3 linked regions of the Cricetulus griseus genome follow. The protein of the gene in region 3 interacts with the protein of the main gene of each other region in a biochemical or structural test. Links are inferred from orthologs where the notes say so. Each region holds a gene or a part of one and is shown on either strand. Other genes may lie near its edges. The genes, in order: Pknox1, Hoxb1 and Pbx1.

The links.
Region 1: the proteins of Pbx1 (region 3) and Pknox1 form a complex in vitro, tested with the Homo sapiens proteins (2 studies listed by BioGRID). The link is inferred for Cricetulus griseus from reciprocal best matches to the Homo sapiens genes PBX1 and PKNOX1.
Region 2: the proteins of Pbx1 (region 3) and Hoxb1 are reported together in a solved structure, tested with the Homo sapiens proteins (2 studies listed by BioGRID and IntAct, with this or other methods). The link is inferred for Cricetulus griseus from reciprocal best matches to the Homo sapiens genes PBX1 and HOXB1.

Annotation. Positions count from the first base shown.
Region 1 is NW_023276806.1:259,928,868-259,932,519, reverse strand, and holds part of Pknox1 (homeobox protein PKNOX1), read right to left. Parts: intron 3,120-3,652; coding exon 3,022-3,119; intron 1,067-3,021; coding exon 938-1,066; intron 1-937. UniProt on the Homo sapiens protein: Activates transcription in the presence of PBX1A and HOXA1.
Region 2 is NC_048600.1:109,523,695-109,527,019, reverse strand, and holds Hoxb1 (homeobox protein Hox-B1), read right to left. Parts: upstream 1,910-3,325; coding exon 1,345-1,909; intron 917-1,344; coding exon 588-916; downstream 1-587. UniProt on the Homo sapiens protein: Sequence-specific transcription factor which is part of a developmental regulatory system that provides cells with specific positional identities on the anterior-posterior axis. Acts on the anterior body structures.
Region 3 is NC_048598.1:24,509,849-24,513,500, reverse strand, and holds part of Pbx1 (pre-B-cell leukemia transcription factor 1), read right to left. Parts: intron 2,198-3,652; coding exon 1,953-2,197; intron 1-1,952. UniProt on the Homo sapiens protein: Transcription factor which binds the DNA sequence 5'-TGATTGAT-3' as part of a heterodimer with HOX proteins such as HOXA1, HOXA5, HOXB7 and HOXB8. Binds to the DNA sequence 5'-TGATTGAC-3' in complex with a nuclear factor which is not a class I HOX protein.

The sequences.
Region 1 (3,652 bases), on a different chromosome or scaffold from region 3:
GCAGGCAAAACATCAATGCGCATAAAATAAGAATAAATAAATCATTAAAAAAAAAAACAGGTAAGAATGTTTCTCTGACCAAAAATGTTCAACAGTATAGCAGCTGTCAGTGTGTGGCGAGAATGTGATCAGCGACTAAACAATAAACAAAAAGTGAGGTCAGAAACATAAGCACAGTGCCAGACCATCAGACAGCAGTCACTGCTGCCCCACTGCTTGGAAAACTAGGTGCCGCAAAGAAATGAGGGCAAGAAGGAACAGGAAAACAAGGCAATGTGTCCTCACTGGTCCTTAGGACCAGTGTTTATATTTGAGAAACACTAGCTCATTAAAGGGAAGTGTGATAAGACATGGACACCAGAAAAGGAAAGAGGCGCGCCCAACACAGCACTTCTGTGGGGAACTGTGACCACAGCATCACAGCCATTGCACTGGCCATCACTTCCTGTCCTTTACCTGACACCGCCTGTGCTGGCAGCCCTCACCATCCTGTACACTACTTGTGTGCCTCGCTTTCTGCCTGGGCCACTCATTTTCAACTAAACAAGCCATGTGTTGGCGGTCTTCATTGTGCCCAATTTCCCCATGTGCCTTTCACTCACTGCATCTCACGCTTAGATCCGCCGCACAGACAGTGCTACTTCATCTTTCTCTTCGCCCTCTTCTCCAGTCAGTCCCATCATACAGTAGGGGTTTTCTGACCCAAAGGAGCACAATTGGCAGTAGTTTAGCTGACTCTCTTTCCACCAGTCGGGGGACCCCTGCTGCATTTTCAGTTTCTTCAAGTCATTATCAGGGACCTGTTCTCAAGCCCCACTATGGACACAATATAATACCAAACTTAGAACTGAGACAAATAAACACAAGTCAGTTTCCCTGGGGACACAAGCCAGGAGAGGGTCTCAGGTCATTCATGGTGTATCCCATGCACTCTTACCCCTATGTGCTGAAAGAGCCAGGACCGCATCACATTGGTGGCATGCTTCGGCAGGACGCCCCTCTTGTTCTTGGAGGAGCCATCCTCTTGATGCAAGATGCTGAGGTCTTGATTCAACTGCAGTTGAAGCTTTCATACAATTGACAAACAATGTCAGAGAGGCTTTGAAATGACAACATATCAAGCAGCTTACAACTTTTGAGATGGAGGAGGTACCTAGGCTCTCAGGCTTACTTACCGTAAAGAGGCATGTGTGGAAATCATGTAAAGACCAATCTGATGCTACTATAACATGGTCTACATATTTGGTCTTCATTCCCACTTTTTCAGCATGTAAGCCCTACAATTCTTAGACACTTCAAACTGTTAAGGGATGACTTCCATATGCTGAACTGTGTCAACTGTTGACTGCAGCCCCGAGGCAGGCACTGTTCGCAGGTTAGACTGAGGCAGAATCACAGATCTTTTTTTTTTAATCTTTTTTCTTTTAAGATTTTATTTATTATGTATACAATGTTCTGCCTGCATGTATGCCTGCAGGCCAGAAGTGGGCACCAGATCTCATTATAGATGGCTGTGAGCCACCATGTGGTTGCTGGGAATTGAACTCAGGATCTCTGGAAGAGCAGTCAATGTTCTTAACCTCTGAGCCATCTCTCCAGCCCCAGAACCACAGATGTTAACCATTACAGTGCACCAAAGGGCTAAAGTTTAGGGTGATCGTGGTGAGTTTCAGGTCAGCCAGGGTACAGAATGAAACCTGTCCCAATCCCCCCAAAGCAAAAAAAAAAAAAAACAAAAAACAAAAAACTCTTTTAAAACAAGACAAATGGAGTATCTTCTACAGTACCAGTAAGTTGACTTAAATTGTCTTCCCCTAAAAAAAAAAAAAAAAAAAAAAAAAAAAAAAAAAAAAAAAAGCACAATTCTCTGTGGCGCACACCTTTAATCCCAGCACTTAGAAGCAGAGGCAGGTGAATCTCTGAGTTTGAGGCCAGTCTGGTCTACAGAGTGAGATCCAGGACAGCCAGGTCTATTACACAGAGAAACTATCTTGAAAACCAGAAAACAAACAAACAAACAAAGAAGCATAACTCAATTCTAGAAAACTAGTCAATAATTGGACACGGCTCTTTTGTTACAAATATTGAAATGGAAACCACAAGGGAAGAAAGCTGGTAGGGAGACAAGGGCAGCATTGGTGAGATCCAGCTCTCCCTTATGTGGGCTTGGGCCTGAGAATCACACACTCAGTAAGTCTCTGAAGCCCCCCGCTCACCACCTATGCCAGGGGCACCTGCATCTTTTTCTCTAGTGTTGTCACCAAACCTTCATGGCCAAGATGGCAGCCCCAGACTACTAGACCACTGAGAACCACTGCAGCCCATTTAGATGGCTTTCCTTTAAGACAACAGCCACACCCCAGGCTAGGCATGAGAGTCCTTGATAAGGACATGGACAGAGACCTCACAGAGTGAATCAACATTCACAAAGTAAAACTATACTTTAAACCTTGTCTTCAATTATTCAAAGTAAAAAATTCATGTTTCTAGAACTCAGAGGGTCTTCCAGGCCATGAGACCCAACTTCCCCATTTTCCTTCAAAGGAACAGGAAGACTGCAGAACGACCTTGGCTACAATATGCCAGCGGTCACCTTTTGTTTGAAGAGCAATATACCTGAATGTGGGAGCCAAGAATTGCTTCTGCAGACACCTAGAGCCTGACCTCAACAAAGCACCCCAGTCTCACTGGGGATGGGGTACAGCTTCAGGCTAGGGGTACAGTCTGGGCTTTGTGGTTCTGAAAACTGCCTGGCTGTTCTGCATCTACAGGACTTCAAGTCTTGATGTGCAGATACTGCAGACGGATGCCATGGACATGGCAGCATCTGGGGTTGTGAAAAACTTCCCTGGTGCCTCAGACTGTTCTGAATTTTGTCAATTTCACAGTAAGGGAGAGGAAGCATGAAAAGAAACAAACCGACTAGAGGCTACTTGACAACAAATGACAGTCACAAAGAGGGGCTCCACTGCACCCCCACCTAGGCAGCACTCATCACAAGTCCTAGAGGGCATCACACACCTGGGAGTTCTGGATCCTAATTGTCCCAGGAGACAACGCCTGTGTGACCACTTGACCTTGTGGAGTGACGACGGTGACAGGCTGGTACACTGTGCCACCTCAAAAAGGAAAAGAGAATTTAAATATTAAACTACTTTTAAGTCTTAGTGGTTTACAGACATTCTTCCTGATAGGTTTATGGAAGAAATGAAAAGCCTGTCGGGTGAGCCTTTTAACCATCCCCCCCCCCCCAAGCAAGTCCCAATTTTTTAAAAATTTATTTACTTATTTTTATTACATATACAGTGTTCTGTCTGCATGTATCCCTGCAGGCCAGAAGAGGGCACCAGATCTCATGACAGATGGTTGTGATCCACCATGTGGTTGCTGGGAATTGAACTCAGGACCTCTGGAAAAGCAGCTAGTGATCTTAACCTCTGAGCCATCTCTCCAGCCCCCTTTTAACCATTTCAAATGGTCAACAATACTTTGCAAACTATGTGGTCAGACAAATTATCACACCAATTCTGGCCTGCATGGCACCTGTCCTTGTCACTGGGGACTTGGCAGGTCCCTTTCCTTTTGCTTGTTTCTGCTTTCTTTTTCCTACAGTTAGTACACATCCAACATTTGGCTAAAGAAACTGGATAAT
Region 2 (3,325 bases), on a different chromosome or scaffold from region 3:
CGTTAGTGCAATACAAATGTGCCAGGCAAGAGTTTGTGGGATTGCTTGGGGTGGGTTTTTTTGGTATGTCACAAGGCAGTCGATGCTATTGTAAGGTCTGCGGTGAGTTGGCTGGATTAAGGATTAAGATTAAAGATTGGCGGTAATATGCCTGTGCTCAGGAACATCCTGAAGATTCTCTCTATCCAGGCCTAGGAAGGAAAGTTGGGGTAAGAGTGCTCAAAGAGAATTCTCCAAGCTCAAAGGCACTGAACTGAGATGGAAGGCAAAGGAGAATCCGGGATGGGCTGGCTCCTACCCCCACTCGGGTGTTGACATTGAGCCAATCTCTAGATCAAAGGCAAAAGGCCTTCCCTCCACTTTAACGGTTGGGTACTCCCCAGGTCCCAAGACTTGTAGGATCCCCAGCTGTCAGTCATCCCTCCACCCCAAGATCTGAGAAAAAAATGTTTCCCCACTCCTGCCCAGTTTCCTAGGCACCTCTAAACTGGTTCCTTCCTCGGCCGTGAGGAGGATCACCAGGGCTGTGAAGTTTGGGAGAGTCTACGACAGGACTGGGTCCAGCTCTGGACGCCCGATGGTTCAATTCAGGAGGTGATGGAGCTGGGCGAGGCTTCCGGGGAGGTGCACGTGGACTGGTCTGAGGCATCTCCGGCCGCTTCCTTGGGGCAACCTGAAGGTGCTGTAGGCACCCTGCCTCCCTCTCGCTCTCGCTTCTTCTGCTTCATGCGGCGGTTCTGGAACCAGATCTTCACCTGCGTTTCGTTGAGCTCCAGGGTGGCGGCGATCTCCACCCTCCGCGCACGGCTCAGGTATTTGTTGAAATGAAATTCCTTCTCCAGCTCGGTCAGCTGGCGCGTGGTGAAGTTTGTGCGGAGGCCGCCGGGAGCGCCCAGTCCTAGCTCGGACACCTTGGCTAGGGGCGGGGCAGGGAGAAAAAGCCACGTCAGTTCTCTCACCTCTTTCTCCCTCCCCTCCACTCCTCTCAGTGCACTGTGTTTCCTCATTCATCATTCTACCCAACTTACGTCCCTATGCAGCACCACACAAACCCTCCTTTAGCAGTTTCCAAATCCAGAACCAAGATCCCACCCGTACTCACCTTCCGACAGAAACATGAGTTCCTGCCTCCAAACTACGCGCCCAGACAAGGAAGTACTTTGTGGAGACCTCTTTAAGGAGGTGGCCCCAAGCTTACTCGATGGGGGAAATCTCAGCTGACCTAAGACGGGAAAGTCCTTACCTGCCAATACCAAAGCAGCTGAAGGGATGAACCAAGCCCTGGCCCAGGACCCTCTGTGCATTCCTGGGCCAAGGAGAGGAAGTGACCACTCTGAGCCCTACCTGTCTTAGGTGGGTTTCTCTTGACCTTCATCCAGTCGAAGGTCCGGGGGGTGAGATTGCTGGGTTCTGAAGAGCAAGATGATTCCTTGTCCTCAGAGAGGAGGTCGTAGGCTGGTGCAAAGTTTGCCGTCTGCTCAGTTCCGTAATGGGGCTGCGTCGGAGGATATGGCCCTGGGCCGACTCCACCCGCTCCGTAGCTGTCGGGCAAAGCTCCTAGCTGGGCTCCGTAGCTCGATGGATGAAAATAGCCTCCATCTCCTTCAGACTGACCCATAGAATAGTACTGAGAAGGCCCATAGCTGGAGTTGCAGGCCGCTGGGGCGTACCCCGAGGGAGCGGAGCTGGGAAAGGACACCCCCAGGGATGAAGGCGGCTGCTGGACAGGGTACCCCGAGTTTTGTTGGAGCGCTGGGTTGGGCAGCCCTCCACCAAAGCGGCTCTCCCCAGCGTAGCTGTCAACCGCCGGAGCTGAGCTGGGGGGAAAGGAGGTTGGGGCGCTGTAGGCGCTGGGTCCCCGATTACAAAGTGGGTACTCTAAAAAGGAATTCATCCTATTATAGTCCATGTAGAGGCCGAAGGAGGGTCCGGCAGTTTGGGGGAGACACCCTCTTGCCCTACAACCTTTCGGCAGTATGTCACAGCTCTGAGGCTTGAGTCCATGGCCTGGGCCAGCTTGCTCCGGCCAGCGCTCCCCTAGGAAGGGGATAGCGAGTGGGGGTGGGGGGGCACATGTGATCTCTCTCAGGCCAATGGGCTAAGCGGGCCAGAGTTTGGCAGCCCCAGCGCCCATCCATCACCCCCCAAGCATTAGCATGACAAAGACACTTCAATCACTCTCAGCCCATCCATCTGAGAGCGACATGGAAGCGTCAAAAACATCTTTCTTCAAAGACTTTTTGGAAAGAAGGGACCAGAGGGAGAGGGGGGGAGTTAGAAGAATATTCAAGACTTTACTCCCCTCCCAACCCCCAAGGCCTTCAATGGGTCCCTGGATTATTAGATTTGGACAAATTCAACCCAGCTGCCCCTCACTCTTTTCTCCCCTCGAAGAAGCCTACCCCCACCCAAGGCAGTAGAGCCAGAGATTGGGAGAAGCTCTGGCTTTGCCCAGAACCCCCATTCCATGTTCCTTTCTCCCAGTTTGTCTTGGGATGAGTGGCTAGGGCAGCCTGGTGAGGTATGTTATCTTGGGACAAAAGGATGACTAGGAAGGGCGGGAGGCTGTAAAAACACCTCAGGGTGTAAGCCAGGCTCTAAAATCCAGAAGAATTCATTAGGAATCAAGGGGTGGAAAATGGCATTTCAAGGGGACCAGCGAGGACTACCAAAACCTGAAGAGGAAGATGAGAAACGCCCCTTTCCTCTCTCCATCTCTCTGCATAAACGCTCTCTCCTCATTCACACATCCATTTCTCTCCCTCAGCCTCTCTTTATATTCTCTCTGTCTCAATTCATCTTTCTGTTCGTCCATCTCTCTCCATATTTATACTCGTTCCCTACCTATCCATCAACTCATCTCTCTGGATGTATTTATCCTCTCTCTAGCCATCCATAGCTGTAGCTGGCTCACTCACTCAGACTTAAATAACTCCCTATATCTCTCCAGAGAGCAGCAACTAGCAGAACCAGGTGATGTTTACAGGAAGAAGAGGAGGAAGGGAATTTTTATTCTCTGTTCAAAAGTGTTTAAAACTAGTAAAGACCCTGAATTCCTCTGGTTTCCCTCTCTCTCTCTCTCTCTCTCTCTCTCTCTCTCTCTCTCTCTCTCTCTCTCTCTCCATTATCTTTAGTCTCCCTGAAAGTTTTTTTTTCCAATTTCTAGACTCAAATCCATAAATCCAATGCTAGTTAAGTGTTAATGACTACCCAAATTTTCCCTGAGTATTCTAGAATAGATGAGTTTACTTTGCTTGGAGAATGGGAGAATTGGTGCAGAGCTGTTTTTTTGTTTTGTTTTGTTTTGTTTTGTTTTGCTGCCTGT
Region 3 (3,652 bases):
AGGACAACCTCTATTCCGCAGACATGTGTCTAACCTCTTTCATCTCACTTCCTCACCTGCATCAAATGGTCTGATGCATCCAACAACAAAATGGCATGGGAGAGCAAGGGCAATTGCATTGGTCCTGATGCTTTGCAACGGTAAGTATGCTATTGGAATGGACTACTGCTGCCCAAGCGGGCACCCCTTTTGGATGAGGGACAGGGTTATCAAAGGAGAAATCAATTCCTTGCTATCTACATTCCAAGGTAACAATAAAGCCATCTTTTAACACCTCCAAGTCTACCACACATTGCAGTTGTGTGATTAAAGAAAGCTGTATTCTGAGTTCCTTTTAGTCTTTGCTTATCTGACATGAGTTAGTCTGGGCGTCAGGTCTAGGCAGGTTTCTAGGCAGAGGCCAGGCTTCCTGAGGAAGGTGAAGTAAGAATAGCACAAATGAGAGAAACCGAGAGGCCATCCAGAGCTCTTCATAAGAAGAGTCCGAAAATGCACTTTCTGACGTTATCGAACTAAATTAGGGCAGAGTCCAGATCCAGGATGGTCCAGGTGGGGAAAAGCACCTCGATTAGGCAGGATTTATCTCAATCTTCCCCGGGACCCGAGGCAAGTCTCCATGAGCTAACATTGTGTCAAGAACATTTGTTCTTTTCCAAGAAGGTACAGGGCAATGACTCACAGTTCTTAACATGCTGACTTTTATTTTCCTTCCTTCAGCTCTCGACTACACCTGTCTGATGGGTGAATTTCAAGACGCTTAAGGTAAGGAGGCACAGCATCCCCTGCATAAAACAGTGGACTTTGTGAGTATCCTCCATTTCACAGGTGGATGGAAGAGCAATAATGAAACTTTCTCCACTTTAAATTTTAAAATGTCCATTTTTTTATTTTAAAATTTAAATTTTCTATTAGGATTGCATTTGCCACCTACCTAGGCAGTCATAAGTTGAGTGCTTTTTTTTTCCTTCTCTGGGTCATAAAAATAGTAAAAGAAAATCTAATTCAAGGGAAAAAAATCATATAGAACCTGGGTTCAGTATAGAATCCAATGGTGACAACAAATGTATTTGTTGGCTAAATAAATGAATTAAAGTCAGATGATAAAGGACTCCTGATAGAGAACTATTGTTCACAATGGTTGGAAAAACAGCACAGATAGAGAATTCCAAATGTAAGGGGGACAGAAGGGGATTTCCCTAACAGGGGGTAGCTTTGTAATCTTCCAGGTACCTCATCTCTGTACACCGATCTGTGCCCCAAAGCCACTGAATCAGAGGATATCATATCCATCATAAATCTACAGTTCTCTATCAAATGCCTGCTCCTTCAGGATACAGTATGCAGGTCCACGACACTGTCAAAGAATGCTTGGGCTGGAGTTGAGGTTGGTATGACTCTAGGATGCCTCCTAAGATGACCTACTATCTCTGCAGAGAACTGTGTACCATATCACACATAAAGAAGAGAGCACATTTGAGTCAGCTGATGCCAGCGTTTAAAGGTCAGGTTCAAGTGTCCCTTTCCATGGGATTCTTGGAGCATTCAGAAGAATAATATCCCTTAAAGAAACAAGTGGAGGCCAAAGGAAGCCAGAAGCCCCTGCCATCAGGTTGTAACTCTGAGAAAGGCCCGCACACTCGGGGGAGTCCCTCTGGACACATTCCACATCCCACAAATGTTCTGGATTTCCTGGCACAGGATACTCCTCACATTGGCCATGCATATTTCTTAAGGTCTTCATTTATAATGTCATGTTGTTTAGTGTCTTGGCCCATGTAAGGCTTTGGCTTTCAATAGTTAAGACCAGGTTCTTAAGGGGATTCAAGACTCTAGGACGATACCTGACCTCTGGGAAAGGCTGGACCAAGGAAGGTTAGCAAGCTGTAGGCTACAGTTTGTTCTGCCCTTGACCAAGGGCCACCCTGAGATCCATTCTGCAGGGGTGTGGTTACCTGCTCATACTTCTCCAGCTCCGTGTGGTAGATTTGTCTGATCTGTGACAGTTTGGCTCTGTAATCAGAATGCTCCACCGAGTTGTCTGAACCTGCACCCCCGGAAGCTGCCGCTGCTGCCGCCGCCGCTGCCGAGCCTCCTCCCTTCTCGGGCCCTGCCACCCCCTCAGCTAGCAGCATGTTGTCCAGTCGCATCAGCTGGGGGTCTGTGGGCTCCTCTTCTTGGGCTCCCCGAATACTCAAAACTACAGAGAAAGACAAAAGGGAAAAAGTATTAACAACAATGCAGGGGAAACATTTAACAAGCATGAAACACAAGAACCCAACCATGTTCCTCTGCTAAACTAGCTTCCAGATTACATGCCCTATGACAAGTGGAGAACCGAGGAAGGGCAAGACAAGAACTGAGAGGGTGAGAATGTGGAAGGAGAAGCTTGCTTTGCTCCAAGGAAACTCTACTGCGATGAATACTTAGAATAGAAGAATGGTGGAGTTGGAACCAGGAGGAGGGGCATGGGGAGCCAGTGTGTTATGCCTGCAGTTTTACGTGGGGAAGTTGAAAGGAGTTCCTGGAAGCCCAGCACTCTGGTCACATCTATAATCCCAGAACTCAGGTAGTGGAGCCAGGAGGATTAGAAGTTCAAGGTCATCGTGTGTGTGTGTGTGTGCGTGTGTGCGTGTGTGTGTGTGCGTGTGTGCGTGTGTGCGTGTGTGCGTGTGCGTGTGTGTGCGTGTGCGTGTGTGTGTGTGTGCGCGTGTGTGCGTGTGTGTGTGTGTGCGTGTGCATGTGCGTGTGTTACAAGTCAGCCTGGGCCATATAAGGCCTTGTCTCTACCCTCACACCAGATAGATAGATGGTGATGTTCACACAACCATGTAAATCTACTTTATGCCATCAAACTGAACACTATAAAATAGGCAAAATTCCCATTGTATGTGTTGTATCACAATCAATGTTAGACTACAAACATTAATTATAACAGAATAATACTTTAATCTTCAATCTGTAAGATTTTATGCAAAGAAAGTGTTTCTTCATTTCTTATTTTAGAGTTCTCTTTGTGGCTTTTACTCTGTGACTTTCTTTGAAATAGTGGATTAACCTATATTTTCATTGCCAAAATAACTTCCGTAAGGCCAATCCAGCTCATGCAATTAACTCCTGAGACCTTTTCCATGGACTAGCTGAAAGAGTGAAGACTAGTCTAGAAAAACGGGAAGACTAACCCCAGCATAGGGACATGCTAGTTTTAAAGCTGAGATCCATCTGTTCTGGTTGGTAAGTGCTTTGTTCTGTGCAAAGCAAGGGTGTGGTCTTTGTAACAAGCTGTTTTCATGGATTCAGCAAACCCAAGGTTCTGGTAGAATGGAGTTTCAGATCGAAATCTGGCTACTTTTTATGGAAACACCATAACTTTGTGGGTGGGGGTGACTTAGTCTGAAGGAGATCAAGAGATTCAGCAGTGTGGCTCACGGCAAATGCTTCCATACCTCCTACACATCATCTGCCTTCAAATAAACAAACCACTCAACTAAATCCAGTTGTGGCTTCAGCAGCCAAGCCTTTGTGGAAAGACAACATGAAGACTATTTTCAGTGTTGAAAGAAGCAGAAGAGAATTCTGGGAAAGCAGAAAAGGACGGGAGGACTTAGAAGATGTGAAGAGGGCCACTCTGTGGACCTTGTTTAGGGGTGGAGGA